4 linked regions of the Arabidopsis thaliana genome follow. The protein of the gene in region 1 interacts with the protein of each later gene in a pairwise test. Each region holds a gene or a part of one and is shown in the gene's direction. Other genes may lie near its edges. The genes, in order: CERK1, ATRPAC42, DIR1 and AT1G62120.

The links.
Region 2: the proteins of CERK1 (region 1) and ATRPAC42 interact in a two-hybrid assay, tested with the Arabidopsis thaliana proteins (one study listed by BioGRID).
Region 3: the proteins of CERK1 (region 1) and DIR1 interact in a two-hybrid assay, tested with the Arabidopsis thaliana proteins (one study listed by BioGRID).
Region 4: the proteins of CERK1 (region 1) and AT1G62120 interact in a two-hybrid assay, tested with the Arabidopsis thaliana proteins (one study listed by BioGRID).

What each region holds. Positions count from the first base shown.
Region 1 is NC_003074.8:7,613,854-7,622,514, reverse strand, and holds CERK1 (chitin elicitor receptor kinase 1), read left to right. Parts: upstream 1-3,843; 5' UTR 3,844-3,984; coding exon 3,985-4,624; intron 4,625-4,720; coding exon 4,721-4,754; intron 4,755-4,842; coding exon 4,843-4,850; intron 4,851-4,947; coding exon 4,948-5,103; intron 5,104-5,192; coding exon 5,193-5,386; intron 5,387-5,464; coding exon 5,465-5,554; intron 5,555-5,647; coding exon 5,648-5,741; intron 5,742-5,818; coding exon 5,819-5,970; intron 5,971-6,068; coding exon 6,069-6,157; intron 6,158-6,239; coding exon 6,240-6,375; intron 6,376-6,471; coding exon 6,472-6,570; intron 6,571-6,810; coding exon 6,811-6,972; 3' UTR 6,973-7,158; downstream 7,159-8,661. Other genes in the region: AT3G21650 (Protein phosphatase 2A regulatory B subunit family protein), read left to right, coding at 1-356, 449-835; TWD1 (FKBP-type peptidyl-prolyl cis-trans isomerase family protein), read left to right, coding at 1,418-1,454, 1,735-1,911, 2,027-2,116, 2,357-2,541, 2,653-2,775, 2,916-3,068, 3,158-3,490; AT3G21620 (ERD (early-responsive to dehydration stress) family protein), read left to right, coding at 8,474-8,661.
Region 2 is NC_003070.9:22,395,776-22,403,427, reverse strand, and holds ATRPAC42 (DNA-directed RNA polymerase family protein), read left to right. Parts: upstream 1-3,014; 5' UTR 3,015-3,143; exon of another isoform or gene 3,144-3,260; 5' UTR 3,261-3,272; coding exon 3,273-3,407; intron 3,408-3,708; coding exon 3,709-3,897; intron 3,898-3,979; coding exon 3,980-4,109; intron 4,110-4,196; coding exon 4,197-4,277; intron 4,278-4,368; coding exon 4,369-4,556; intron 4,557-4,654; coding exon 4,655-4,750; coding exon of another isoform or gene 4,751-4,840; exon of another isoform or gene 4,841-4,863; coding exon 4,864-4,957; intron 4,958-5,042; coding exon 5,043-5,159; intron 5,160-5,252; coding exon 5,253-5,350; 3' UTR 5,351-5,515; downstream 5,516-7,652. Other genes in the region: AGD2 (ARF-GAP domain 2), read left to right, coding at 52-261, 345-431, 516-776, 999-1,123, 1,318-1,408, 1,547-1,992, 2,070-2,184.
Region 3 is NC_003076.8:19,643,520-19,649,626, reverse strand, and holds DIR1 (Bifunctional inhibitor/lipid-transfer protein/seed storage 2S albumin superfamily protein), read left to right. Parts: upstream 1-2,786; 5' UTR 2,787-3,001; coding exon 3,002-3,310; 3' UTR 3,311-3,599; downstream 3,600-6,107. Other genes in the region: AT5G48490 (Bifunctional inhibitor/lipid-transfer protein/seed storage 2S albumin superfamily protein), read left to right, coding at 1,390-1,695; AT5G48480 (Lactoylglutathione lyase / glyoxalase I family protein), read right to left, coding at 3,969-4,185, 4,530-4,813; AT5G48470 (uncharacterized protein), read right to left, coding at 5,500-5,544, 5,625-5,684, 5,785-5,850, 5,963-6,107. UniProt on the Arabidopsis thaliana protein: Putative lipid transfer protein required for systemic acquired resistance (SAR) long distance signaling. May interact with a lipid-derived molecule to promote long distance signaling associated with SAR.
Region 4 is NC_003070.9:22,957,774-22,964,724, reverse strand, and holds AT1G62120 (Mitochondrial transcription termination factor family protein), read left to right. Parts: upstream 1-2,621; 5' UTR 2,622-3,085; coding exon 3,086-4,399; 3' UTR 4,400-4,586; downstream 4,587-6,951. Other genes in the region: AT1G62130 (AAA-type ATPase family protein), read left to right, coding at 110-185, 271-364, 457-508, 610-780, 1,045-1,155, 1,242-1,325, 1,409-1,569, 1,655-1,793 and 3 more; AT1G62110 (Mitochondrial transcription termination factor family protein), read left to right, coding at 5,243-6,631.

The sequences.
Region 1 (8,661 bases):
AGTTGCTAGAGATTCTTGGAAGTATAATTAATGGTTTTGCTTTGCCTTTAAAAGAAGAGCACAAGCTCTTCCTTTTGCGAGCCTTGATTCCTCTCCACAAGCCTAAATGTTCATCAGTCTATCACCAACAGCTTTCGTATTGCATTGTTCAGTTTGTAGAAAAGGACTTCAAGCTCGCTGATACCGTTATTAGAGGTCTTTTAAAATATTGGCCTGTGACTAACAGCTCAAAGGAAGTTATGTTTCTTGGAGAGTTAGAAGAAGTCTTGGAAGCAACTCAAGCCGCTGAGTTTCAACGTTGTATGGTTCCATTATCCCGACAAATTGCTCGATGCCTCAACAGTTCACATTTCCAGGTTCGAGTCTTTGACTATCATCACAACTTCATATCTATCTCTCTTGATAAAGTCTTGTACCTATATATGAAGTTGTACTTTTTGTTTGTCAGGTTGCTGAAAGAGCATTGTTTCTATGGAACAACGATCACATAAGAAACCTGATCACTCAGAACCATAAAGTGATAATGCCTATAGTCTTCCCAGCTCTTGAGAGAAACACGCGTGGACATTGGAACCAAGCAGTTCAAAGTCTGACTATAAACGTGAGGAAAGTATTATGCGAGATTGACCAAGTTCTTTTCGACGAGTGTTTAGCCAAATTCCAAGTAGAAGAAGTGAATAAAACAGAGGTTAAAGCGAAACGGGAAAGGACATGGCAACGGTTAGAAGATTTAGCTACTTCAAAGACCGTTGTAACCAACGAGGCAGTACTGGTTCCAAGATTTGTGTCCTCAGTCAATCTTACTACAAGCAGCTCTGAGTCCACAGGGTCGTAGTAGGCTCTCGTAGGTTACTATGTACTTGTAACAAATATTTGTGGTCACTATAGAAATGGTTCTTGAGAGACGACTGTATAATTATTTTTTTAAATTATAATCTTTTGGGTCAAATTGAGAATATTTGATATTATTTTACTGAATTATAATAAACGCCGTTAAAACTCTCGTTAGTTAACGGCTGACTCTGAAGTGAAAACTGAAAAGTCGAAGGGTCTCTTTATATTTTCAGAATCAAAATCTGAAATTTATCTCTCGGTCGATCCAGTCTTCGTGAGTGACTTCGACGACGACGACGAGTCACACTACTCTTGAGCTTCTCATACTTCGTAAGTTCACTCTCCTCTTCTCTAAATTGACAAACTTTTTCTTCGTTTTCTGCTATTATTGACGACGAGACTTGATTTTGTTTTGAAATGAAATGGTTCAAGTAGCTGACTTCGACTATGTTCTTTTGGGTTTTTGTCATTGAATCTTACTTGTCTGATTTGGTCGATGTTTAATCAATTCAACACTTAAAGATTCAATTTTTGGATTGACACTTGCACATTTTTATTCAGACCCAGGTTGATTTGGGAAATAATGGATGAATCTCTGGAGCATCAAACTCAAACACATGGTAAGTAAATTTTCATAGATTTAATCTCTCTGAATACATATATATGACTTCAATATGTTTGATTGGAGTTTTTTTGTTGTCCCATATTCAATTGGATGCTTTGTTAAAGGATAAATGTCTATCAAATTATGTTGACTGCGTTATTCTTTCTAAATCATATTGTGAATCTTGGAACAAAGCATGTATACAACAAATTTGTTAGACTTGATAACTCCTTTTCTGTTTGTTAAGAATTGAGAATGACTATTGGGGTTGACTAATGCATCTTTTGTGGCTCCAGACCAAGAGAGCGAAATAGTTACTGAAGGAAGTGCCGTTGTGCATAGTGAGCCATCTCAAGAGGGTAATGTTCCTCCTAAAGTTGATAGTGAAGCTGAGGTCTTGGATGAGAAAGTCAGTAAGCAGATTATAAAGGAAGGTCACGGTTCCAAACCATCCAAGTACTCTACATGCTTTTGTAAGTACCCTTTAGCTTTCTGTTGATTGGATGTTGATTTTTCGATTGCACTTGTTGGCCTATTGCTACTGTTTATTTGAATCTTTCTATCTGACCAATTTCATATTGGCCATAGTGCACTACAGGGCATGGACCAAAAACTCGCAGCACAAATTTGAGGATACATGGCATGAGCAGCAACCTATTGAATTGGTTCTTGGAAAAGGTATGTGGCTGTCGAATATGTACTCTACACCTCCATTTCGTTAGATGAATCGTCATTGGTAAATTTGATGAGTTAGCTTGTGTATTATATGAACCCAATGAGATGGATATTTGGGAGGAAAAAAGATTGAGTTTTGTATTTTTTTTGCTTCAATGCTGATTAGCCCATTTTAACGTCACTATACAATTTTTTTTATAAAAAAGATTGTGCACTAAGAGTGAAATGTTGTCTGTGAGACAGAGAAAAAAGAACTAGCCGGTTTAGCCATCGGTGTTGCTAGCATGAAGTCTGGTGAACGTGCGCTTGTGCATGTTGGCTGGGAATTAGCTTATGGGAAAGAAGGAAACTTTTCTTTTCCGAATGTTCCACCTATGGCAGACTTGTTATATGAGGTGGAAGTTATTGGGTTTGATGAAACAAAGGAGGTAAGTTATTTCCTATACCATCATCTTGTTTCCTTACCAAGACGACTCCACATCCAAGCTTTATCCCAACCTCCTTGCTTACCTCTCTGACTTAGATGATGTATTGAACAGGGAAAAGCTCGCAGTGATATGACTGTAGAGGAAAGGATTGGTGCAGCAGACAGAAGAAAAATGGATGGGAATTCTCTTTTTAAGGAGGAGAAACTGGAGGAAGCCATGCAACAGTATGAAATGGTTATGCATCTCTCTCTATCTCTATCTCTCTTTCCAACAATTACGGTCAAAGTTTAGGTTTTCAGGCATACTTAGTGAGTCTGCTCGAGGCTCTTGTGTCTTCTTTCGGCTTTTGATTAGTCATGGTTTTGCTGTTTCAGGCCATAGCATACATGGGGGACGATTTTATGTTTCAGCTGTATGGGAAGTACCAGGATATGGCTTTAGCAGTTAAAAACCCATGCCATCTTAACATAGCAGCTTGCCTCATCAAACTAAAACGATACGATGAAGCAATTGGTCACTGCAACATTGTAAGACTCATCAAACCATTCATTTGAAGAAAATCATTAAAGTTCATACTCGGTTTCTCGAAATCTAATCAAACTCAAAACCTTATCAGGTGTTGACAGAAGAAGAGAAAAACCCAAAAGCACTGTTCAGAAGAGGGAAAGCAAAGGCAGAGCTAGGACAGATGGACTCAGCACGTGATGATTTCCGAAAGGCACAAAAGTATGCTCCTGACGACAAGGCGATTAGAAGAGAGCTACGAGCACTTGCAGAGCAAGAGAAAGCCTTGTACCAAAAGCAGAAAGAAATGTACAAAGGAATATTCAAAGGGAAAGATGAAGGTGGTGCTAAGTCAAAGAGCCTTTTTTGGTTGATAGTGTTATGGCAATGGTTTGTTTCCCTTTTCTCCCGTATCTTTCGACGCCACAGAGTTAAAGCAGATTAATGTATGAAGAAGGGTAACAATTCAACTCTAAAAGACCAACGTGAAAGATCTACCCCCATTTCTTATTAGTGAGAATTTTGAAAAATATTTTATATAAGAAAAAAAAATAGTCTCTATTGTTTTCGATTATAAAGTAACTTTATATTTTGATCCAAAAAAATAAATTTTTAACAAAAAACATACAAAATTCGAACGTAAAATCTACTTCCTTCAACAGAAATGGCGGTCTTCATAGTTTTTGTCTTTGACCAAAGACTTTCAAATTCCAGCTGCTAGTTGCATTAAATGATCTTAGTATTATTAATTAATTAAGAAACTTCTCAACAATTAACAAACACTAATCAGTAATCATCATTCTCTTTAGTTGAAAAAAATAGTCAACGTTTGATTAAGTCAACCTTTTTCGTCTTTGAATCCATCTTCTTCCCCACAGAGCAACGACGAAACAAAAAAAACAGAGACCCTTCCTCTGGGGAATCTAAGGAAGCTTCAAAATGAAGCTAAAGATTTCTCTAATCGCTCCGATTCTTCTTCTCTTCTCATTCTTCTTCGCCGTGGAATCTAAGTGCAGGACTAGCTGTCCTTTAGCTCTAGCTTCGTACTATCTCGAGAACGGAACAACACTCTCCGTCATCAACCAAAACCTCAATTCTTCAATCGCGCCTTACGATCAAATCAATTTCGATCCAATCCTCAGGTACAACAGTAACATTAAAGACAAAGATAGAATCCAGATGGGCTCTAGGGTTCTTGTACCTTTCCCTTGCGAATGTCAACCTGGTGATTTCCTAGGGCACAATTTCAGCTACAGTGTTCGACAGGAAGATACTTACGAAAGAGTCGCGATTAGTAATTACGCGAATCTCACGACGATGGAGTCGTTACAGGCGAGGAATCCTTTTCCGGCGACTAACATACCTCTCTCTGCGACGCTTAATGTATTGGTGAATTGTTCTTGTGGTGATGAGAGTGTTTCGAAAGATTTTGGTTTGTTTGTTACGTATCCGCTTCGTCCTGAAGACAGTCTCAGTTCTATTGCGAGATCTTCCGGTGTATCGGCGGATATTCTGCAGAGATATAATCCCGGTGTTAATTTTAACTCCGGGAATGGAATCGTTTATGTGCCTGGAAGAGGTACAAAGATTGATCTTTGATGATTTGTGACACAAATTGTTATAAATGTAGTAATGATTGTTGAAGTTTATGTACATGTTCCTGTGTTTTTTGCAGATCCAAATGGTGCATTTCCACCATTCAAATCAAGGTTGTTTTTGTTGTTGTTAAGATTGTATCTTTGTTCATTTTGATATCTATTTACTGATGTATTTCTACTTCTCTTATGTTTTTTGTAGTAAACAAGGTTGGTTCTTTTCTCCATTTTTGAGCTTTTGATGATTATGCACGAAGCAAGAGGAGACATGGAAGAGTATGTTTTTGATATTTTTTTGTATTAGCAGATGGTGTTGGTGCTGGAGTTATTGCTGGTATAGTTATAGGAGTGATTGTGGCTTTGTTGTTGATCTTGTTTATCGTATATTATGCTTACCGGAAGAATAAGTCGAAGGGTGATTCGTTTTCTTCTTCTATTCCGTTGTCTACTAAGGCTGATCATGGTAATTTCGTGATGATCATATACAAGCAGTTTTTGTCTCTTTTGTTAGCTGGGAGTTGCTTATTATGTTTATATGAAATCTGCTTTTAGCTTCTTCTACTAGTCTCCAAAGTGGAGGTTTGGGTGGTGCCGGAGTGTCTCCTGGCATTGCTGCCATAAGCGTGGACAAATCTGTTGAGTTTTCGTTGGAGGAACTAGCAAAGGCTACTGATAATTTCAATTTGTCTTTTAAGATTGGGCAAGGTGGTTTTGGGGCTGTTTACTATGCAGAGCTGAGAGGAGAAGTAAGCAGATATCTTTTTATATCTTTTTGTTTGAAGCTACTACACATGGAACATTTAAATTATTCGGTTCTTGTATAGAAAGCTGCGATTAAGAAGATGGACATGGAGGCATCGAAACAGTTCTTGGCGGAACTAAAAGTCTTAACGCGTGTACATCATGTCAACCTGGTAAACCCCTTTTGTGTTCTCTCAAGATAATATCTGAGATCAGATGAAGATCAAGTCTTAGCCAAATTTTAACGAATTTGTTTTTTCTTGCAGGTTCGCCTGATTGGATATTGTGTTGAGGGATCACTTTTCTTGGTGTATGAATATGTTGAGAATGGTAACCTTGGACAACATTTACATGGGTCAGGTACGCAATATAAAGACCTCCAAAAGTGAATCATTTTTCGAGAAAGTTGTAAACTAAAAGAGTTTATGTGAAACTAGGACGAGAACCATTACCGTGGACTAAGAGAGTGCAGATTGCACTAGACTCAGCTAGAGGTTTAGAATATATCCACGAGCACACGGTTCCAGTTTATGTCCATAGGGACATTAAATCTGCCAATATTTTGATAGACCAGAAATTCCGAGCAAAGGTACATTCTCGATTTCTCTTTTGTCAATCAAAAGTGAAAAATACTGAAAAGGTTAGATTTTTCCTTTGTCACCGCTCTGAGTCGTTTACGTGTTACAGGTAGCAGATTTCGGGTTAACAAAACTGACAGAAGTTGGAGGTTCAGCAACTCGGGGTGCAATGGGTACATTTGGTTACATGGCACCAGAGTAAAGAATTTGATCTCGTTTACACTTATATACTACTTTAGAGACTACACTATAGTGATGGTGTATATATGTATGTATGCAGGACTGTTTATGGAGAAGTGTCTGCAAAAGTAGATGTATATGCATTTGGAGTTGTCCTTTACGAATTGATTTCTGCGAAAGGTGCGGTTGTCAAAATGACAGAAGCCGTTGGTGAATTTAGAGGCCTTGTTGGTGTGGTTAGTATTATTGTTTCTTCGTAACATTTAGTCTTTCTGATTTAAAGGCATGTATGTGGATCACTTAACAATATGCTTTGTTTATTTATTATTCAGTTCGAAGAATCATTCAAGGAAACCGACAAAGAAGAAGCACTACGCAAGATTATAGACCCGAGGCTCGGTGATAGTTACCCGTTTGATTCGGTATACAAGGTAATATCTCTTCTTGTTCCCTATTCTATTCATCATTGATCATTCTAAAAGAGGGTGTCCAATCCGTTTTTTGGTCCGAAAAACCGATTAAAAGTGCGATTTTTAAAAACCGGTATTCACTGAACAATGTGCTATTCGATTAGCTTAAAGTGTCGAAAAATCAAACCGAATACCGGATTGCACATAGCTAATTTTAATAACGGGGTAAGCCAATTTGGTGTTTTATGTGTTGTGGTATAGATGGCGGAATTAGGGAAAGCATGTACACAAGAGAATGCGCAGCTACGTCCGAGTATGAGATACATTGTGGTTGCTTTATCCACTCTCTTTTCGTCTACCGGAAATTGGGATGTTGGAAACTTCCAAAACGAAGATTTAGTCAGTCTTATGTCCGGCCGGTAGACTCGTTTTCCGGTTTGCTGTTGTTATATAGAAATGATTGTTTTTTGGTATGCTCACGTATATTTTGTCTGTCTATACGAACTTTACATGTCACAACTCACAAGTTGACTTTTATATGATTTTCTATAACGCTCTATATGTCAATTATTCAACGTCTCCGATATCAGCATCTCACGTCAAAGATAATAATGAAATGCATTAAAATTCTCATAAATAAATTTTTTGAAATCGAGTTTGCCGACAAAAAAATCAAAACATAAAAATATAACTTTTTGTGATGGATACTCTCACGAAGCTTAGAACAAGTCTTCCATAACACCAAAGAAATTCGAATGATTTTGTCACATGGATTCCCCAATACATAAAATCTATATTCCAGCTTAGAACACTAAGTATGTTTCTTATTTCACCTAGCTAGATTTTCTTTATTAGAAATAGAGTAATCGAATATTCTTTTACCATAAACCAATATATTTCATTTTTTGTTTTTTTCTTCTGTCAACAACATACAGATACGGCTACATATATCTATGATTTTTTTTCGTTTGTCCATTATTTGTAACGGAATAATTATTTAAAACACACAAAAAGTTACCTTAAACTGACTAATATTAAATCAAAACTTTTTCATTCCAAAAGTCAGATCTCAAACCTTTTTTTTTAACATAATGTGTCCTCTAAACTTTCAAATCAGGGAATAAATAAATACATTAGAAAACGTTAAACCAATATAAAATACAGCCGTTATAATATGAACATAAATAACATGCTAATACGGCGAGACCTATAAGGCTAATAAACCATTATTGCTTCTCTAAAGAAACTGAAAAGGAACCCAGTAACGGACGATGTCCTAAACAACAAAACATTCAATTAAAATACAAATTCCTTAATTAACACTATTACTTTATTTAACACAAATTAATCTCTTTTGCCAGGTGTCCTTCACCGTTTAATCCTCGGTTCGCTAAATTAGTTAATTAATTAATTAAATGGACTTGTAACACCCAAAACGTATGAATCAGCAGAAATCTCACTTCAGTTGAATCTTTGGATCAATTTCCAAAATAAACCCAAACACACAAATTAAAAATCTCATTTTTATGAATGTTTCTGCTTCTTCTTTTGATCCCTAATACTTTCTTCTTCTTCTTCTTCCTCTCCTTCATTCTCTGCTCAACGTTGTTTGACTTCACAGATAGAAACAACAAGACGAGTTTCATCGCTGAGCTCTTGAGAAAGGTAAAAACTTAAACTTTATCTCTATCTTTCACATTCATGTGAAGAATCACTCATTTGTAGAGTTGATTCAGTGTTTAATGGATTTGACGGAATCTGAAAAGACTATGACTAGGATCCAAAAATTCCGATTTCTGGGTGAAACGAGAAATTTATGGAGAAAAACTAGCTAAAAATATTGGCAATTTGGAAGTCCTTGGATTGCAAGGAACCCTAATTTTTTTCGTTTGTTTCAGGAACATTGTGTGTTTCTCTCTAAATCATGGCGACACTAACCGATATCGGAGTCGCAGCAACGATCAATATTCTAACCGCATTTGCTTTCTTCATTGCCTTTGCGATACTTAGACTTCAACCAGTTAACGACAGAGTCTATTTCCCTAAATGGTATCTCAAGGGTTTAAGAAGTAGTCCTATAAAAACAGGTGGCTTTGCTAGCAAGTTTGTCAA
Region 2 (7,652 bases), on another chromosome or scaffold:
AGTTTCACTTTCTCAGTTTCTATCCTTCTAATCATCTTTTTCTATTTATAGAAATCTCAGCATTACTACAGTGGTTTAGGAGAGCATAGTAGCGGCGTCTTTGGGAGATTTCGTACAAGACACAATCGATCAGCTTCACAGGGAAGCCTAGATTGCAATATGATCGATCTCCGTACTTCACTGATAAAATTGGACGCAGAGGACACAGATCTTCGACTCTGTTTTAGAATTATATCTCCTCAAAAGACTTACACACTACAGGTACTAAATTTATTAGATATAGAAACGTGAAGGAGCAAATATAGCATCAAGAGGCCAACACAATTTATTTCTATATGCTACAGGCTGAAAATGGAGCTGATAGGATGGATTGGGTAAATAAGATCACAGCAGCTATAACAATACGTCTGAATTCTCATTTTCTGCAGCAGGTTTACTCAATATGAGTCTCATACTTTTCTTTTACCTTCAAATTGAAAATTTTGTGTTGTTATAGAATCTAATATCTTCTGCAGTCACCAGCAAGATACTTGGATAAAAAGAATACTAGTTCTGGTCCTGCCACTGAAAACCTCACCCTGAATCAAAAAGAAGATTATAATCAAAGACTAAATGTGGGGGATGACGTCCTTACAATACTCAGAGAAATTCCTGGAAATAACACTTGTGCAGAATGCAATGCACCTGACCCCGATTGGGCATCATTGAATCTTGGAGTTTTGATGTGCATTGAATGCTCTGGTGTTCACAGGAATCTCGGCGTTCATATATCCAAGGTAAATTTCTTCATTTTGGTACGATATTGCGTAGCTTCTTTCCATTTAGTTCGAGGTTGTATAAGCTCATTTGTTGTAAAGCTAACCATGTGCTATATATCTTTGCATCAACCAAAATTTGCAGAGCTCAATTTTTTAAGATGAAGTGTTTATATTTCTTGCTGAATTAAACATCTGTGTATGAAGCTTAGATATTTAGCTAATGTCAAAGAATGTCTGCAGGTGAGATCGCTCACATTGGATGTGAAAGTATGGGAGCCTACAATCTTGGACTTATTTCGGAACTTAGGCAACGGATACTGTAATTCAGTCTGGGAGGAGCTACTTCATCACCTTGACGATGACAGGTATAATTTCTCAAGGAAAATTAGATTGTTTATATAAGTAAAGACTGTCTCTATAACACAATCAAGAAATAACATTCCTTGAATCAAAATCATCTGTTCCTCTTTTACAAGTTTCTATTTTCCCAATTGTGTAAAATCATGAGATTGGTGATCTTTACTTTCCTATGATCCTATCTTCTGTTGAATATTTACAGTGAAAAGGGATCGACAGACACACTTGCATCAGTTTCGAAACCATCTTCAGAAGATTGGTTTACTCTGAAGGAGAAATATATTAACGGAAAGGTATGAGATTTAGTTCTTAAAGTTTTCGCATACATAGACCTCAGATTCATGTCACTTGACGCATCATCCAAATGAGCATATTCTTGTGAATAGAAAAGGCTTATGATACTAAAGCTGATAATGTTTATGCCTAGCTAGTACCTGGAGAAAGCACTAGTTGTCAAAGATGAAAGAGAAGCAAATTCTACTGCCTCAAGTAGAATATGGGAAGCGGTTCAAAGCAGGAACATAAGAGACATCTACCGACTCATTGTAAAAGCAGATGCAAATATCATCAATACCAAGTTCGATGATATTACTGACCTTGATGTATATCACCACCACCATGTTGATGCACCAGATGAAGTAAAGAAAAGGCACGATCCAAATGCGTGTCAGAGAATCAAGAATTCGAACGAAGCAAGAAACTGTCTTCAAGGCTGCTCATTGTTGCATGTGGCGTGTCAAAGCGGTGACCCAATCTTGCTTGAACTGCTGTTGCAGTTCGGGGCTGACATAAACATGAGAGATTACCACGGACGAACTCCATTACACCATTGCATCGCATCAGGGAACAACGCATTTGCAAAGGTTTTGCTGAGAAGGTAACACACTAACTAATAAATCTCATGAGGGGCACTTTGAGTAGATACTTAGTGTCTCTCTTCTTTGAATTTGACAGAGGTGCTCGTCCATCAATAGAGGATGGTGGAGGATTAAGTGTGTTGGAAAGGGCAATGGAGATGGGAGCCATAACCGATGAAGAGCTCTTCCTTCTATTAGCAGAGTGTCAGTAAATTACCAATATACCATTTGCTGATTGATTGCTACGCAAAGGAATGTAACTTGTAACTGTTGTAGTATTTGGTCATGACTTGCTCATCGCATTGATGCTCCAATATTTACCTAATTCCCGAAGGAGATAGAACTCTAGGAAATGTCAAGATTCCGACCTACTGTATTAGCCTTTGTAATGTTATACATAAGATGATCTCAAAGATTCTAAGCCTGCACCTCAAAGTTTTTTTTTCTTCTTCTGTATTTGATATCCGAGATACAAATATGTGTTTTGTAGCCGGAAACTTTATTATAGACAACATTCTCATTGCCCAACAAAAATTTGATGAAGTAAGTGTCGTGTTTTCTTCTATTATTTTGCTCTAAATTAAGTAGTGCTATTGCCACATTCTTAGATACTAACGTAGAAGAGTCCCATCGACATTTTTTTTTTGACCAATATTAATTAGAGTTCAAAAAAGCCTATCATTCACAGTAGATGCCAAAAACAAAAGGAGTCATTCCTAGAATTGTTGTTTACATATGTTTTTAGTTTATATTCTTAGCTTAACCAATATGCTGCGAATTGATTGCAGAAAAGTTTTTTTTTTTTTTTTAAATTAAACAATTCACCGAAAAAGAATAAATTCTTATTATTGTTTTTTGCTATAAAACAAAATCATGAGCAAAAGAAAGTATTCATCTTGTGGAATAAATTTTTATTTTTTAAAGTAATGGCTTTATTTTTAGTGTTAAACAGTATTCTTTTGAAATGTAAAAAAAGAAGAAGTATTCTTTTGAAATGAATTTTTTATTGTTTCTTTTGGTAATAATGCGTTTTAATTCGAACCGGAAAGAGTTAAGGGATTAAATAAAACCGGCGGCTTTTTCAAAACCCTTCACCGTTTGTTCTTCATCTCCTCGCCGCCGCCTCCTACTCTCTCTTTCTCTCTAAATTGCTCAATTCTCTCGGCCACAGGTAAGCTTCTTCGACTTCACTCTTTGACCCAATACTACTTTCCTCACCCCCTGTGGTTTCCTTTGTTAAACCCTTCAATTCTCTTTCTCAATTTGATAAACCCTAGTTCTGCTATAGACCTAGACAAGGATGGTGACTAAAGCAGAAAAACAATTCGCCAAAAATTTCAACATAGACGATCTCCCTGACGTCCCTGCCGGACTTCCTCCACATCTCAAAGCCCAGCAAACTCGTGTCGTCTCTAAAAACAACGCTCCTGCTCATGTAAGAACTATTCTCGTTCAAAGTTACAATCTTTTATGCTCTGTTTTGTTGGTTATAAGCTTATCTAATTACAAATTTTATAGCTTTTCTCAATGATCCCATGTGGGTTTGAGTTCTATCGTTGCTGTGTTCATGATACAGAGTAAAAGTTTTGTTTTTTCCTGTGAAAAGCTGTGAATTTACGAGTTTGGCTCTTAAGTGTTTTACCAGAATACACCTTTTGTTTTCAAATTCAAGATGATATTGAGTAGTGATTGTTTGAAATTTGAAGTCTTTAATCTTGTGTTTGTGTTTTCTGTAGACTGCGAGTGCCATTTACTCGGGTACCTATGTTTCTTCTACGGAAGAGGACGACAATGTGAAGCTAGGAAACTTCTATGATAACTTCAAAGTTGATGTGGTTAGTCTCACAAAGACAGATATGGAATTTGATATGATTGGTATTGATGCAGCGTTTGCCAATGCATTCCGAAGGATCCTTATAGCTGAGGTCTGTCAAGTTTTCATACAACCTCTGATGAATCCCTCATTGTTGTAATCTTTGGCTTAAAGTGCTTCTTTCTTTATTGCAGGTTCCTTCAATGGCTATTGAAAAAGTGTTGATAGCGTACAACACATCGGTTATTATAGACGAAGTTCTTGCTCACAGGATGGGTCTTATTCCAATTGCCGCAGATCCAAGACTTTTTGAATATTTATCCGGTAAGCATATATTTCAGTGGTATGTGATCCATCTACATATGATGATAATTCTTCTGATTAGCTTACTTCTTTATCTGTGTATGATAGAACATGATCAGGCGAATGAAAAGAACACCATTGTATTCAAACTCCATGTGAAATGTCCGAAAAATAGACCACGTCTTAAAGGTAATATATGTTCATTAGTTAGCATCAGAAGATTTCTTGTTTTATTATCAGCTCCATCTCTCATGAAAGATATCATTTCGTTTTCTTGTAGTTTTAACGAGTGATTTAAAATGGTTACCAAATGGAAGTGAGCTTCTGAGAGAATCGGAAAATAAAACCTCAAAGCCAAAAACTTACACTTCATTCAGTTGCAGCCAAGATTCATTACCTGAATTTGCTAATAATCCTATCACTCCATGCGACCTCGATATCTTGATAGCAAAACTCGCCCCTGGTCAGGTAGTGTTTCTGTACATTCTTTTTATATACACCCAAGCAGACCATACTTGCAATGAGAGATGAAACATGTGCATCTTCTTTTATCTCTTTTTTCCCAGGAAATCGAGCTCGAAGCTCATGCGGTTAAGGGCATTGGTAAAACACATGCAAAGTGGTCTCCAGTAGGGACTGCTTGGTATAGAATGCATCCTGAGGTGAGAAGTATATACATCAATCTATCATATGCTTTATGGGAAACAGCTCTTTGTTTTGTCTTTCCTCATCCCAATATATATGTTTCGTAATGCTTTTGTTTATACTATCTTAGGTGGTTCTACGTGGGGAAGTTGAGGATGAACTTGCTGAACGACTTGTAAACGTCTGCCCACAGAATGTTTTCGACATTGAAGACATGGGAAAAGGTGAAGTATAAAATCTTATGCAAGCTGATGAACTTGGCTGCATGACTTACTTAAATTTGATTTCATACTGACTTGTGGAAAACAGGTAAGAAAAGGGCAACAGTAGCGCAGCCACGTAAGTGCACATTGTGTAAGGAATGCGTAAGAGACGATGATTTGGTAGACCATGTGGATCTTGGCAGTGTTAAGAACCATTTTATATGTAAGAAGAGAAAAATAAAACCCATTCCTTTTACTCTGCTACTCATGATCTGAAAGATATCGTAATTGAGTTTCTTGTCGTCTTTTTTCTCAGTTAACATTGAGTCCACCGGATCACTGCCTCCAGAGGTTCTCTTCACTGAAGCTGTGAAGATATTGGAAGCTAAATGTGAAGCTATAACCGACTTTTGAGTTCTGGTTTAGTTCAATTTTGAATTGTCTGTCTATCAATGTTTCTCCTCCTATTGATAAATTACCAACAAACAACATTGACATATTTATTTATACGGTTGTTGTTCAATTTGGATTTTCATTAGCCTTCTGAGTTCTGATTCATAACAAAATTCCTAGCTGAACCAATTTTGGAAATCTGCTTCGGTTTAATTTGGTTTTACTATTCTACCACTAGAACACTGACGCCATTCCTTACATTGTGCCAATCAAGGTGTGTGTTGGTAATAGTAGTTTTTGGTTTCATTGAACACTTAAAATAGCGTCAGTGGTAGAATAGATCCCTGCCACATTAGATTATACAAAATGTTCTCATTAAATATGAACTATGAGAGTTTATGTATAAATAACTGAAGAAGTAACATTTAAACAAGTAGCACCAGTGGTCTAGTGGTAGAATAGTACTCTGCCACGGTACAGACCCGGGTTCGATTCCCGGCTGGTGCAATAGAGCTGTGATGAAATCGGTTTCTGTAAAGGTTGGGTCCTTTGCATTTCTCCAGTTTATCTGGTGATATGGCCTCTTAACTGAGCTCTTTCTTTTTCTATTTTTTCTTTACCTTTTTAAGTTTTCTAATTAGAAGACATCAGTACATAAACAGTTGATTATGCTAATAGTAAGACTGATTATGATAAGGGAATATAAACAAAGTTCGACAATGTGGTTGTGAATTTTATAACGAACATGTTTTACAATATATCACAAGACTCACATGTTTTATTGGTTATTAGTGGATCTTTACAACATAACCACAAATAGGGGTGCTGAGTTTTTGAAAGAGTTTAGAAGTTTTGACCAAACAATTTTAAGTTCTTCGGATTCAATTACCAAATGTCAAAATACTCGTCTAACTATGATTTACAAGTAAATACCACTATTACAAGAAGTTTTTTTTTTTTTTTTTTTTTTTTTTTTTTTTTAACAAGAAGTTTAAGCTATGCATGGTAACATATTAATTTATTAGTATATAAAAAAAAATAATTCCAGGTTACAAAATAAAACAAAAGTATCTTACAATAATTAAATTTTGACGGTATGACGATATACAATATCACATCAATAATAATAAAAAAATTCATAGTTTATAGAAAATGGTTTAGACATATCATATCATACATATATTCTTAACCCGAATCCGGATGTTGTTCACGACGATAACGCGTAGCAATTTCACAACCACGATGGTAAAGGTTGACTGGAAATTTGACACATTCTTTGGGGGCTTTTACTGCCGCAAGCTGGAATTCTGTCTTTTATCATATCTTTATAGTTTATATATTTGCTTCCTTCTCCTAATCCGCTGAACAATGATAATATAATCAATTACTGAAACAAAGAAAAGACGGGTAAGACTCTTTTTATGACCAGCCATTGTTAAAAAAAACAATGTTTTTGAATCTTTTTGATCTTTTTCTTTGACACTATATTTTGTAAATTGAATTGGTAATTATTAGTTTGTGTATCTTTGAATTATAACAAGAGAAAGTATTTCTAAATACAGAAGACCAGTGCATAATGTGTGTGCAAGAGTTTAGTGGTTATTTTAATTCTTCCTTTCCCCACACCATTCGTCCATAACTCCGTATTCTTCTTCATTGTTCTAAAGAGAAAACAAGAAACGTTTAACGGTTTAAGCACTTTAAACGAGTACATTGATAATAAAGCTTGCATGATTCTCTTACACAACATACACATACTTACTTACTACTTTCTTACACACTTACACACACAAGCATGCTTTTAAACACATAACTAACTCTAGACTCTTGCAAGCCACTCTACTACTTACATATTCTTGCATACTACTCTCCTTAAGATAGAACCATAGTTGGGCTTAACCAAGTAGCCCAACGTCTCCTTAAGACAAAACAGTAAGCCCGATCTCCTTTGTTGACTTGTGTCTTCCTCCTCTTAATCGTTGACTCCTCTCTTCACGTCTCCAACGTGTCTTCGTCTTTGCTTCTGCTCTGTTCTTCTTTTGCTTTGCTTCTCATCTTCATCACACTGATTCATCTTTTCTTGTTGCAGGTTTGAGCACAGGCTCAAACGCTAACAGTTACTTTGTTTGTTGAATTCATAGTTTACTAGTCCATGTAGCTTAGTGTGTTGGATCAATACATGATCATATCAATATTTAAAACGTTAAGGTTTTTGTTAACGTGAAGGCTTTGTTTTTGTTCGTCCTCAAGGTTGTAATCAGATTTGCTTCTTTGTTCTCCTCATTAAGAATTTCATGCTTAGATACTGTAACTGGTTTCCTTA
Region 3 (6,107 bases), on another chromosome or scaffold:
AGAAAACGTAGCTAATAGTGGCCAGAATAAGTTTTGGGTTGGGTTTATTCAGGTTTTGGTAACCCAAGTAAAATCTGGATTTAAGGTCTTTAGATTTTATATTAGGTTTAAGTTGTTTACGATCATAAATACTTTGACCAAAACAAACTCAAATCTAAAATTAAATCAACTTTATCTGGAAAATATTTTAGTTATACAGATTTGTCTGGTTATTGAGTTCTTATAAAACTGACAATAGCATCCAAAATGAATTTCAATAGATAAAATAAGTTGAAATATCCAGAAATAAAATAAGACATGCTAAACCTTTTTTCCCTCTTATTTTTCAACTTCAAATTTTTTATTTTTTCCTTAGCATTTATTTGCGAGCAAATCTGAAATGTGCAATAAGCTTTTTAAGCTCCTTTTAATTTCAAAAATCTGGAATTGATGGGTAATGAACAAGGAGAGAGTTACATGATATTCTAGTTTGGGAAGCTCTTAAAAAGCATCGAAACACTAGAAAAGCACAAATCCTTCATGGGCTAAAATCAGGCCCAGTAATTGCAAATGCCTTTTTCATATATGTTATTTTTGGAAAAAAGTATTTGCAAATGTTGATTAGTTTACCTATATAAATAAGAAGAATATTTGTAGTTATAAAGTGTATTAGTTGAAAAAAGTTATATATAAGTTGTAATTAGGGTCTATGACATTAATAAATATATGTTGCCCTGCATCCATTACTTGGTTTTGTATCCGCCTTAGACAAGATTCATCGTTATCAAGTAAATAACAAATAACGTAATTTAGATACTCGCAAGTACGGATAATAAGATTTAGACAAAAACAATAATTCATGACTAGTTTTATTAATTTTCTGTTTGATTGTTTACTATTTATAGAGATATATTTTATTTTAAATTAGTTTTTAAAAGTAAATATAATATTATGTTATAAATTTAAATTAAATTTTAACCGGAAAAAAAAAGTGACAAATAATCAGCAAGTGACATACAAATAACTGTTGTATTTTTTTCTTGGTTATAGTGGCATACAAATTACTTGCCATTAATCCACAAATATTTGTAAGAAGCAACATATGTTTATCAATATCAAGAAAATTTACACAATGTGCCAGTTGTATTACTCTGGAATTTTCTTCTTCCATTTTGTAGTAAAAGATTTGTGGGCTGGAGATTGTGGATAATTGATAAATACCAAAAAAAAACAAAAAAGAGCAGCAATAATAAGAATCCAAGTGACCAATACCCTATCCCAAAAGTGAAGAAAGAAAATCCAATCTAGTTCACGGGTTTGCTCCAAAACTTAATAATAAATACACCATTGCATGCACATTCATTTTAACACCACAAACACAACAAATATATAAAAAATAAAGAGGATAAAATGACAAGCAAGAAGGTGGCAATTATGGTGATTGTAATGGTGATGGCTAGTTTAGTCGTTGAGAGGTCAGTGGCGATTGACCTTTGTGGCATGACTCAGGCAGAGTTGAATGAATGCTTACCAGCGGTGAGCAAGAATAACCCGACGAGCCCATCGTTACTTTGTTGTAACGCTCTGAAACATGCTGACTACACTTGTCTTTGTGGCTACAAAAACTCTCCGTGGCTCGGTTCTTTTGGTGTAGATCCCAAGCTCGCTTCTAGTCTCCCTAAAGAGTGTGACCTAACCAACGCCCCAACTTGTTAAGCATTATGGTGTTTTCCTTTGTTTGTTTATTATTTACCATGTTTAATGGAATATTCTAATTAAATATAAGGATATTTTAATGGATTCGCTTAGATTCATACCGAGATTATCGCATAGCTATGGTTCACACTTCACAAAATAATATCAATGATCTAAACCTATAAAATCAAAAATACTTATCATAAAAACGTCACAAAAAGTTCACCAAAAAATAGTATGAAAATAGAGAAAACAAAGTCATGAAAATGCTGTTGTTGCATCAAATTCATCATGAACAATAGATCTCAATCTAATTGCAAATGAAATTTTGATGGTTTTGACTATGAAGAATGAACTCCTCCTTTTTCTATTCTTTTCCATTGGCTCATATACCTTTAAAATTGGTCATTTGTTATAGTCTTTCTATTTCTAACCTTCGTTGGCCAAGGCCTAATTTGCTTTTCCTAAAATCTCTTTAACAAAAAGAAGATAATTGTGAATTAGGTAAAATAATGATTGCCACTATACAGTTTTTACTTTTTAGGTTTCGGTAAAACAGTGATCGCCGGTAAAAACAGTAATTGTAGTTGAAAAACGATTAGATGGTGAAAAAGTATCAACTATAAAAATACATATATTAAATCCACTAAACCATTTCGTAGACCAAATAATCATCTCGTATGTGCCATGCTTATGAGTTTATCACTAATTACACTAATAGGACTGAAATTCTCAAAGAAAATAAAACATTTATTTGAAAATAGAACAGCAAAAAAATTGAGAATCTAGAGATTTGGATTTATTCTTCGTTCTATATTTTGTCCCGTTTATATACTAACTGATGTTCTCATTTGTTTTGTGGTTAAAGTAGCTAACTGTTGTTGACACTTAACAGTAATACTCGCTAACTGTTTTATTTTCGTAATTTGTGAAACTTCTTAGAGTACTCTTACTTGGGCTCATATCAGGCCCAGTATTTTGCGGATGTTTATTAATGTGTTTTTTTTCGATTAAAAGAGAATTTTATATACAAATACAATGTGCAAGTTGAATTTTCTTTTTCCATTTGTAGTAAAAGATTTGTGGACTGGAAATTGTGTAATCGATACTTGATAATTGATAAGAATCCGAAAGCTTATGATTCTATGACAAAAGACCCTCTCCCAAAAGTAAAGTGGAAAAACACATCCCCGTGACTATATGGAGCAATCCAATCTGGTTCACGGGTTTCTCTAAAACTTGATATATATACACCTTCTCATGCACATTCATTTCAACACCACAAACACAAACAAACATATAGAAAAAGAGAGAGGAGGATAATAATATGGCGAGCAAGAAAGCAGCTATGGTTATGATGGCGATGATCGTGATAATGGCTATGTTGGTCGATACATCAGTAGCGATAGATCTCTGCGGCATGAGCCAGGATGAGTTGAATGAGTGCAAACCAGCGGTTAGCAAGGAGAATCCGACGAGCCCATCACAGCCTTGCTGCACCGCTCTGCAACACGCTGATTTTGCATGTCTTTGTGGTTACAAGAACTCTCCATGGCTCGGTTCTTTCGGTGTTGATCCTGAACTCGCTTCTGCTCTCCCCAAACAGTGTGGTCTAGCCAACGCCCCAACTTGTTAAAAGACTCTGTATACGTGTGTTTATGTTTTTTATTACTCCTATTCTAAATATCGGATGTTATTAATAAATCGTATTTTCTGCCAAATGGCGTTTATGGGTTAACCCCAAAAACTGGTCAAAAGAAAAGAAAGAGGACCAATCGAAAACTACACAAGGCCCAAACACGGAAGGGCAATTTCGAAAAATATGTAACCAATAAGCGATAGAGAGAAACCACAAAGCACAAATACAGAGGTTTATGGTTTCACTACCTCTGACACAGTATTCAACACTCTGACACCAAAACAACAAATATTCTTAATTCCGTCTTATCTAATCACTAACCATTTCATTTTCATTCCAAATAGACGATTATACCCTTAGTACTAAACCAACAAAAATGACAAAGAACACAGATTAAACACAGAACGATTATAGAAGATAGATAGAGAAGCGAAATCATCAACAAAACATAATATAGCCCGAGATTAATATGCAATTTCACCAAGATTAGAGTTTGTCAAAAGGGGTGAAATTAGAATCCGAAAGTCATTAGCCTACTCGATCCGGTTTACTGATTACCGGATTCCACAAAAGACAAAATAAAAGCATAAACCTAGGATAATAGATAGTTTTTTTTGTTCAGAAACCGACGAAGAATTAGATCCGACGACAGATTCTAAACCTCTTTGTTCTCGTCGGTGATCACGGTCTTCTTCTCCGCGAAGATCCAAGTGACACCAAAAGGATCCGTAACTTTTCCTTTGAATCCCAGTTCAACTTCTGCCTCCGTAACCTCCACTTTCACAGCTCCGGCGTCAACAGCTTTCGCAACGGCGGCTTCAGCATCCTTAGTTCCGAGAAGAAAAGTCACTCCCGAACCTTCCGATTTCGCACTGTTTAACGATTTAAAAAAGAAACAAAACCACATAAGTAAACAGTAATCGTATTTAAGAAAAGGCACAATCATCCACTTAAAATAGTTTTTTAAGCGTTATAAAAGTTTCCAAAAACTATTCATTTCAAAAACCTAAATCCAGATCTAAAACGAACAAAAAAATCGTGTTTAAGGGAGAGGAATAACTTCTAAACATGATTTATTCTCCAGATTTCTTCTAATAAAACAACCTAAAACCAGATCTAAAACGAAATCAAACACTAAACGAACAAAAACCTAAAAAAAAAACAGAAAACATGGAGATCTAGAAGCTAAACACCAAAACGAGAGAGAGAGACTTACGTAGAAAAACCAGGGAGAGAGGAAACGTCGCAAACAACGAAGGAAGAGCCAGCGAGATTAAGCTCAGAAGAGAGAACATGAGGAAGCTCTTGGTCAAGCTTACGCTTAGGGTAAAGAGAATGACCAGACTCGATCGCACCAAAAGCAGATTTGTAGAAAGTAACAGCGTCACCGACCTTTTGAGCTTCAACGAGCAACATCTGCTTGAACTCAGTGAAGACAAGATGCGTCTCCACCGGACCAGCACCGTTAGTAGCAACAGCAGTAACATCTTCTTGAGCCATCGCAGAGAGAAAATAAAACTTTGAGAAGAGAGATTCGTTTACGGTTAAGAGAGAAATGAAAATTGCGTGTGAAAGAACAATCTAGAGACGATGAGTGAGATATTTATGAAGGAAGCGGAGAAGCGGAATCGTTTCGTGTAACCTGACGAGGATTTCAAATGGATATAACAATTGCTCTCACGTCCGTGGATTTTTACCCTTACTTTTTGATTTATTTACGTGAATATGCCCCTACTAATCACTTTTCATTTACTACCCTATAGGACTCGTGTCTCGTTCGCATGTCTCCTCTATTAAACCGTTGGAAAGAAATCAATTAAAATTGGTTACTCGAATATTTTAATCTTTGTTATATACTGTGTCATCAAATATTTTAGTTTGTTATCATTGTGTAACTCTGAATGGTACACATAGGACAAAAGTTACGATTTTATTTTTTCCCATCCGTTTCGAATGGGTTTAAAGATATGTTAATATCACTACCATTATTCTTTTTTTTCTTCTATCCCTTTCCAATTTTATTTTACGTCACATGTAACTTTTGAGGTTTAATGGATGTGCATAGTTTAGTAGAGAGACATTATATGTCATATCAACCAACCAAATTACAAATTATATACCGATCAAGATTATTTCAGGACGCAATCTCTACCTGCGAGTCTTTCTTGATGTAACAAAAGATATTACTAATAAGCGATTTCTTCAAGAACTTGGAGGGTTTTTTGGTGAACCTGTGAACAGAAATAAACTATGATGAATGCAAAGAAACGAGACTTTGGTTGCAAATGTTTTGGTGTTATGAGGAACTTACCCATTCTAGATGTTGTGCTGTTATCCCGGAGGCATTACCCGAGTATATACTTCCCAGTACCTATCAAGATTGGATTTAAACATCACATAAAAAAGTGGTCAATGTTCTCTATTACTATCATCTGTTGAACATAGGGGATCGAGGAATGTTGGAAACATACCTTTGTGACAGTTTCTAGAAACATTCCTGGTCTTACTGGTAACGGTTTTCTTCCTGTAACGCTTCCCTGAGATCGCATCAAGTAGGCCAAGTAAGAAAAGAAGACATATCTTTGGTTCAGAGCCTACTGAAAAAGTCTTCTCTTTTAACAAAACAATGTGTCACTTGATCATACTTACCCTTCCATTTAATCCACTTGGTTTTCTTCCTTCGGTAGAAGAATCGTCTTCTTTGCTAAGATTATCTGCGCCTTCATCTTTCCCTTGCATTACATTCTGGATCATCTGCTGCACAGTCTTTCCAGGTTTCAAAGCTACCAATTTG
Region 4 (6,951 bases), on another chromosome or scaffold:
CAGGTGTACAAGACTATCTGTTTTTCATATGGCATAATTCCTTTTCCTGTTGTAAAACAGGGGAATACAGAAGCTTTAATAAAGAATTCATAATTGCATCTCAATTTAGGTGTTGGGACGATGTGGTATAGAGTGTGAAGGCATTGAGACGCTGTGCATGAAGGATCTCACACTTCGAAGAGACAGTATGTTTTCCCTTTCTTCGGCATGATGACCAGAGTTGACAATGGAATGCTTTTCGAAAAAGTTGACTTTGGATATCTGCATCAGGTGCAGAAAAGATCATTGGATGGGCTCTTAGTCACCATATAAAGTCTAATCCTGGTGCTGATCCAGATGTTAGGGTTATTTTGTCTCTTGAGAGGTAATTGGCAGCTTGTCCCTGTGCATCGTTGTTTACTTATTTTCACCAATGTATCTGTTTCAGTATTGAGAATGAACTTTCGATCCTTGCAGCTTAAAATGTGGAATAGAACTCTTGGAAATTGAATCTAAGAAGTCTCTCAAGGTTAGCAAATCGTCTTGGAAATTGAATTTTTGTTTACTTATTTTCACTCTGGCAATTCCTTCTATCATGTAACAATTGTTAATTTTCTCTGTTGCTTTCAGGACATTGTGACAGAAAATACGTTTGAAATAAGTGATATTATTCCGCCCAGTGAAATTGGTGTTACATTCGATGACATTGGGGCACTTGAGAATGTCAAAGACACTTTAAAGGAACTGGTTATGCTTCCTTTTCAATGGCCTGAACTTTTCTGCAAGGGGCAATTAACAAAGGTGGTTGTCTTATCCGCATTTGGTTTTAGGAAATTCCCATATTGTTTCACTATGTCCTGCCTCGAATTGATGACAGATCTGTGAAGGACCTTTTATTTGTGTGTACCAGTATACATGTTCATAAGTTTTGTGAAGTAATGACGATATTAGTAATACTAGCTGATAATTTGGCTTTCCTCAAAAAATTTATCTCCTATAATTTAGATGTTAACGTTATGGATTGGTGGCTTCCTAATCAGTCTGCTCCTGTACTTCTCTACACAGCCTTGTAACGGAATTCTCTTATTTGGACCTTCTGGAACTGGAAAGACCATGCTTGCAAAGGCAGTGGCAACGGAAGCTGGTGCTAACCTCATCAACATGTCAATGTCAAGGGTAACAGAATATCCTTGAAAAGTTGGACTCTACCAATTTATACACGGAATCTCTTGTTCAAACTTGTGTTCTTCTCAATATTGCAGTGGTTTAGTGAGGGTGAGAAATATGTCAAAGCTGTCTTTTCGTTGGCTAGTAAAATTTCCCCAAGCATTATCTTTTTGGACGAGGTAATTCCTCATGGTCAATTCGTGGGCGAATCTTGCTTGTAGTCAGAGCATTGACTGTCTTACAATATTTTACTGTCTTGTAGGTGGAAAGCATGCTACATCGGTACAGGCTGAAGACGAAAAATGAGTTCATAATAAATTGGGACGGTCTGAGGACAAATGAAAAGGAACGTGTTCTGGTTCTTGCAGCCACAAATAGACCTTTTGACCTTGACGAGGCTGTCATTAGAAGGTTGCCTCATAGGTAATTTATATATAGCTTCCTTGTTGGACTAAGCTTTCTGTCAAATTGACATGTCGTAACAAGTTTTTGGTATTGGCTTCTGCAGGTTGATGGTGGGACTACCAGATGCTCGTAGTAGATCAAAGATATTGAAGGTGATACTTTCAAAAGAAGACTTGTCCCCTGATTTCGATATTGATGAGGTTGCTAGTATGACAAATGGATATTCTGGAAACGATCTTAAGGTAAAATTCCTAGTAATTCCTTTTAACCTTTTGCTATGGTCTGACGAAATGATAAGTAATGCTCATATATATCCATGTTACATGCTCTTTTGGTGCGTGCAGAATCTATGTGTTACTGCTGCCCGCCGTCGAATCATAGAGATAGTGGAGAAGGAAAAAAGTGTAAGTAGTCTTTGTGTTAAACCAAGAAAACTAACTTTATGCTGCCTAAAACTAGTCTATAGAATAAAAATATGCTTATGATGAGATATATTATGGTAGGAGCGAGATGCTGCTGTGGCTGAAGGCAGAGTTCCTCCAGCTGGAAGTGGAGGTTCTGATCTCCGAGTTTTAAAAATGGAGGATTTCAGAAACGCACTCGAGCTGGTATGATTTTTGCTTGTGAGCTTTCTTTTCTCAAATCTGTCTCTGGCTCAGAGAACTGTATAACTGTTGTCGATGTTGTTGAATCAGGTGAGTATGAGCATCTCATCAAAGTCTGTCAACATGACAGCGCTTCGACAATGGAACGAAGACTACGGGGAAGGTGGATCCAGAAGGAATGAATCATTCAGCCAGTACGTGTAGGATTGAGTCTACTTCAGAAGCAGAATGTGTTGTATATAATATGTTCACGTGAATAGATAGATAGTCATAAAACAGTATAAACTATAAAGGTATAGTGAGTTCTGACAGAATAACAGGTTTTAGTCGGAGTTTTGATACAAACCTGTCAGGTTCGGTCACTGGTAGTTTCAAATGACTTATATTCTTGTCGTAGTCACATTTCAACAATTTGTTTTAGCTTAAATAGTTAATAACGGTTCACATTTCAACTAAACCAGTCAGGTTCGGTCTCTAGTTCCAAATGTTTTTTCCCTTTTCGATCAATCGGACGATCTTTGCTTTGAAAGCATAGAAACACTTGAAGAAATCAAGAACCGTATCCAAATGAAGCTTCATGTATCTGATGACGACTTTCCCAAGTGGAAGTTGCGTTCATGTGACCATGTCAATGGATGTTGTTTATAATCGCTTCCAGTAAATCGAACGAGTCGACTAAACCGAATTATATTGATCATCCGGTTTGTTTTGATTGAATTTGAGCGACACGCAGTTCAGCTCCAGAACTTGAATTCGGCAAGCAGTAACACCGATGTATAACGGAGGCGAGGCTTCTTCCCACACAGACACAGAGGATATAGGAAACTGCGAAGCGAAAAAGCTTCGTGGCTCTAAAGGTTAGAGCTTTATTCAATTTCTCGAATTGAATCAGATTTAGCACACTGTGAGTTATTTGCATTGTCTTTGTAATGTATTCTCTGATTCTCCATGGAAGAAAGTTGGTCCAGTTGCAGAAATGGCGCCATTTGAGGGTTTCAGTGAATCTTTTTCAAAATGGATCAGCTTTTTCCAATACCTTCTCCTCCTCTGCTATTGCTGCTGATGTGAGCTCAAGAGATGGTCGAAAAGGTCACAACTTTACAGTTTCTTACCTCGTTGATTCATTAGGTTTAGCTACAAAAGTCGCTGAATCGATCTCCATGAAAGTCAGTTTCGATAACAAGGGCAACCCTGATTCTGTTCTGAGTCTTTTGAGAAGTCATGGGTTCACTGATTCTCAGATCTCCAACATCATTAGGACTTTCCCAAGATTGCTTATCCTAGATGCTGAGAAATCCCTTGCTCCCAAGCTTCAGTTTCTGCAGTCCATAGGTGCTTCAAGCTCTGAGCTCACCGAGACTGTTTCTGCAGTTCCGAAAATATTGGGGAAGAGAAAGGGCAAATCTCTCAGCAGATACTATGATTTCGTCAAAGTCATTATAGAAGCGGATAAGAGTTCCAAGTTAGAAAAGTTATGTCATTCTTTGCCAGAGGGTAGTAAGCAGGAGAACAAAATCAGAAATTTATTGGTGTTGAGAGAAATGGGTGTGCCTCAGAGGTTGTTATTCTCATTGCTTATATCCGATGCCGGAGATGTTTGTGGTAAAGAAAAATTTAAAGAATCACTCAAGAAGGCTGTTGAGATTGGTTTTGATCCAACCACCGCAACTTTTGTCAAAGCTCTTAACGTTCTTTACGGATTAAGCGACAAAGGAATTGAAAATAAATTCAATGCCTGTAAAAGGTTAGGCTTGGCTGTGGACGATGTATGGGCAATGTTCAAGAAGTGGCCAAACATTCTGACAAAGTCTGAGAAGAAGATAGAGAACTCCGTTGAAACATTTCTAGGCCTAGGATTCAGCAGAGATGAGTTTTTGATGATGGTCAAGCGATTCCCTCAGTGCATTGGATATTCTACAGAGTTGATGAAGACGAAGACTGAGTTTCTGGTGACGGAGATGAATTGGCCACTAAAGGCTGTGGCTTCAATCCCTCAGGTACTCGGATACAGCCTAGAGAAGAGGACTGTCCCAAGGTGTAATGTTATCAAAGTTCTCATCTCAAAAGGATTGCTCGAAAGTGAACTCCCTCCAATATCCTCTGTTTTGACAAGTACCAGTGAGGTGTTTTTATATATGTATGTTAGGAAACATGATGACAAGCAGCTTGTGGCTGAGTTGATGGCTATCTTCACCGGAGATCGTGTTTCACTCACCGATCAGAAGACACGCCTAGAACAATGAGCAAAGTCAAGGATGGATTTTTTTTTTGTTTTCTGTTAGGTTTAGATTCATTAGTGAATCTTGATGCTTGACTTTTGGAAGTAGAGAATAGATTTTGTGTATGAGTGTCTGAAACCCATTTAGACTTTTGTAATCTTAAGTTGACCCGGATCCAACCCGTTTTCTTCTAATGTGAAATCCGTTTGGGACAATAACCAAGAAACAGCAACACAACTATTTACTACATGACATATGTAGGTTATTGGTAGAACTAGAATAGAGATCTAGAGGTTTTGGATTGTCTGAACACGAATACTTTTAACCCTGAAGGATGATGAATTAGTCTTGTACGAAACAATCTTGAAGGATATTACTCACTCTTCTGGTCCAAGAAATGGACATATAGTATGTGACCTTTAGAGGAAGACACTCTTGTGTGCTCATGTAAAGTCTATGTCGTTGTTACATCTTGTAATAATACTTCTGTTGTTGTTGTGAGACAAAAACAAGTATAGCCAAATAACAACAGTATGTTTATTTTTAGTTCTAAATTAAAACAAAACGAGGGCTTTGCCTAAACCCTAAAGAGCTCATTTTTTAATTTTGCCTCCCTCAATTTGGATAATTGGATCTTTGAGTCTTCTCTAATTCTCTATGGAGAAAAAGGTCACACTTTTAACAATCTATGAGAAGGTGGGTCACTGATTGATGAATGAATTTGCTCTTCTTCCTCGCTCAATCGTAAGTTTAGTAGAAATTTTCAGAGTCTTCTTCTCGAATAGAAACGGATAGTTGGGGTAGAATCGCTTTTACACTTCTGGGATTTGTTGGTTCTGCTCTTCTTGTATTCGCATTTTCTTTGTCATGTATTCTGTGATACTCCATGGAAGAAGGTTGGTACAGTTGCAGAAATGGCGTCATTTGAGATTTGTTGTGCAAAATGGATCAGCTTTTTCTAATTCCTATTCTTCTGCTAGTGCTACTGATTTGAGCTCAAGAGATGGTCGAAAAGTGAAGAACTTTACTGTCTCTTACCTCGTTGATTCATTGGGTTTAGCTACAAAACTCGCTGAATCAATCTCAAAGAAAGTCAGTTTCGTGAACAAGGGCAATCCTGATTTAGTTCTGAGTCTTTTTAGAAGTTATGGGTTCACAAATTCTCAGATCTCCAGCATCATTACGGATTATCCTAGATTGCTTCTAATAGATGCTGAGAAATCACTTGATATCAAGCTTCAGTTTTTGGAGTCTAGAGGAGCTTCAAGCCCTGAGCTCACTCAGATTGTTTCTACAGTTCCTAAAATATTGGGAATGAAAGAGGGAAAGTCTCTAGGCAGATACTATGATTTCGTCAAAGAGATTATAGAAGCAGATAAGAGTTCCAAGTACGAAACTTTGTGTCAACCTTTGCCAGAGGCTAATAGGCAGGGTAATAAAATCAGAAATGTTTCGGTTCTTAGAGACTTGGGTGTGCCTCAGAAGTTGTTATTCTCCTTGCTCATCTCTGATGCCCAACCTGTTTGTGGAAAAGAAAATTTTGAAGAATCACTCAAGAAGGTTGTTGAGATGGGTTTTGATCCAACCACCTCAAAGTTTGTCCAAGCTCTTAGGGCTGTTTACAGATTCACCGACAAAACAATAGAAGAAAGAGTTAATGTGTATAAAGGGTTCGGCTTTGCTGTGGAAGATGTATGGGCAATGTTCAAGAAATGTCCTTACTTTTTGAATAGTTCGGAGAAGAAGATTGGTCAGACAATTGAAACCCTGAAGAAGTGTGGACTACTCGAAGACGAGGTCATCTCAGTGTTGAAAAAGTATCCGCAGTGCATTGGTACTTCAGAGCAGAAGATATTGAACTCCATTGAAATATTTCTAGGCCTAGGCTTCAGCAGAGATGAGTTCATAACAATGGTTAAGCGCTTTCCTCAGTGTCTTATTTTATCTGCAGAGACGGTGAAGAAGAAGATTGAGTTTGTGGTGAAGAAGATGAATTGGCCACTGAAGGATGTGGTTTCAAATCCTACGGTACTTGGATACAACCTGGAGAAGAGGACTGTCCCAAGGTGTAATGTTATTGAAGCTCTCATGTCAAAAAGACTTCTCGGAGACACAGGAAGTGAACTCCCTCCAATGTCGTCTGTTTTGGTATGTACTGATGAGTTGTTCTTAAAAAGGTATGTGAGGAACCATGGTGACAAGGAGCTGGTGCTTGAGTTGATGACTATTTACACCAGAGGTCGTGTATCATCATAGATCAGAAGGATTTTCCTTTTATTTTTGGAGATTTGAAACCTTGATATTAGACTTTAAAAGCAATCCGGTTTGGAAAAGTAACTTTAAATTGTAATTTTGAATCTTTTTTTCTGATATATTACTAAGGTTTGCATCATAGAAACAGAATTGTTGCAAAATCACAGACTTGTGAATTCAAACTATGTATTTGCTGATTTAAATCTTCTGAATTTTTGGTGACCTTGTTTGTCTGAACTCTTGAAGTTTAAATTCAAGACGTATAAGAGAGTCAAGGTTCTGTTCTCTGCTCTTTTTACCAAAAATCTTCATTTTTTTTAAAA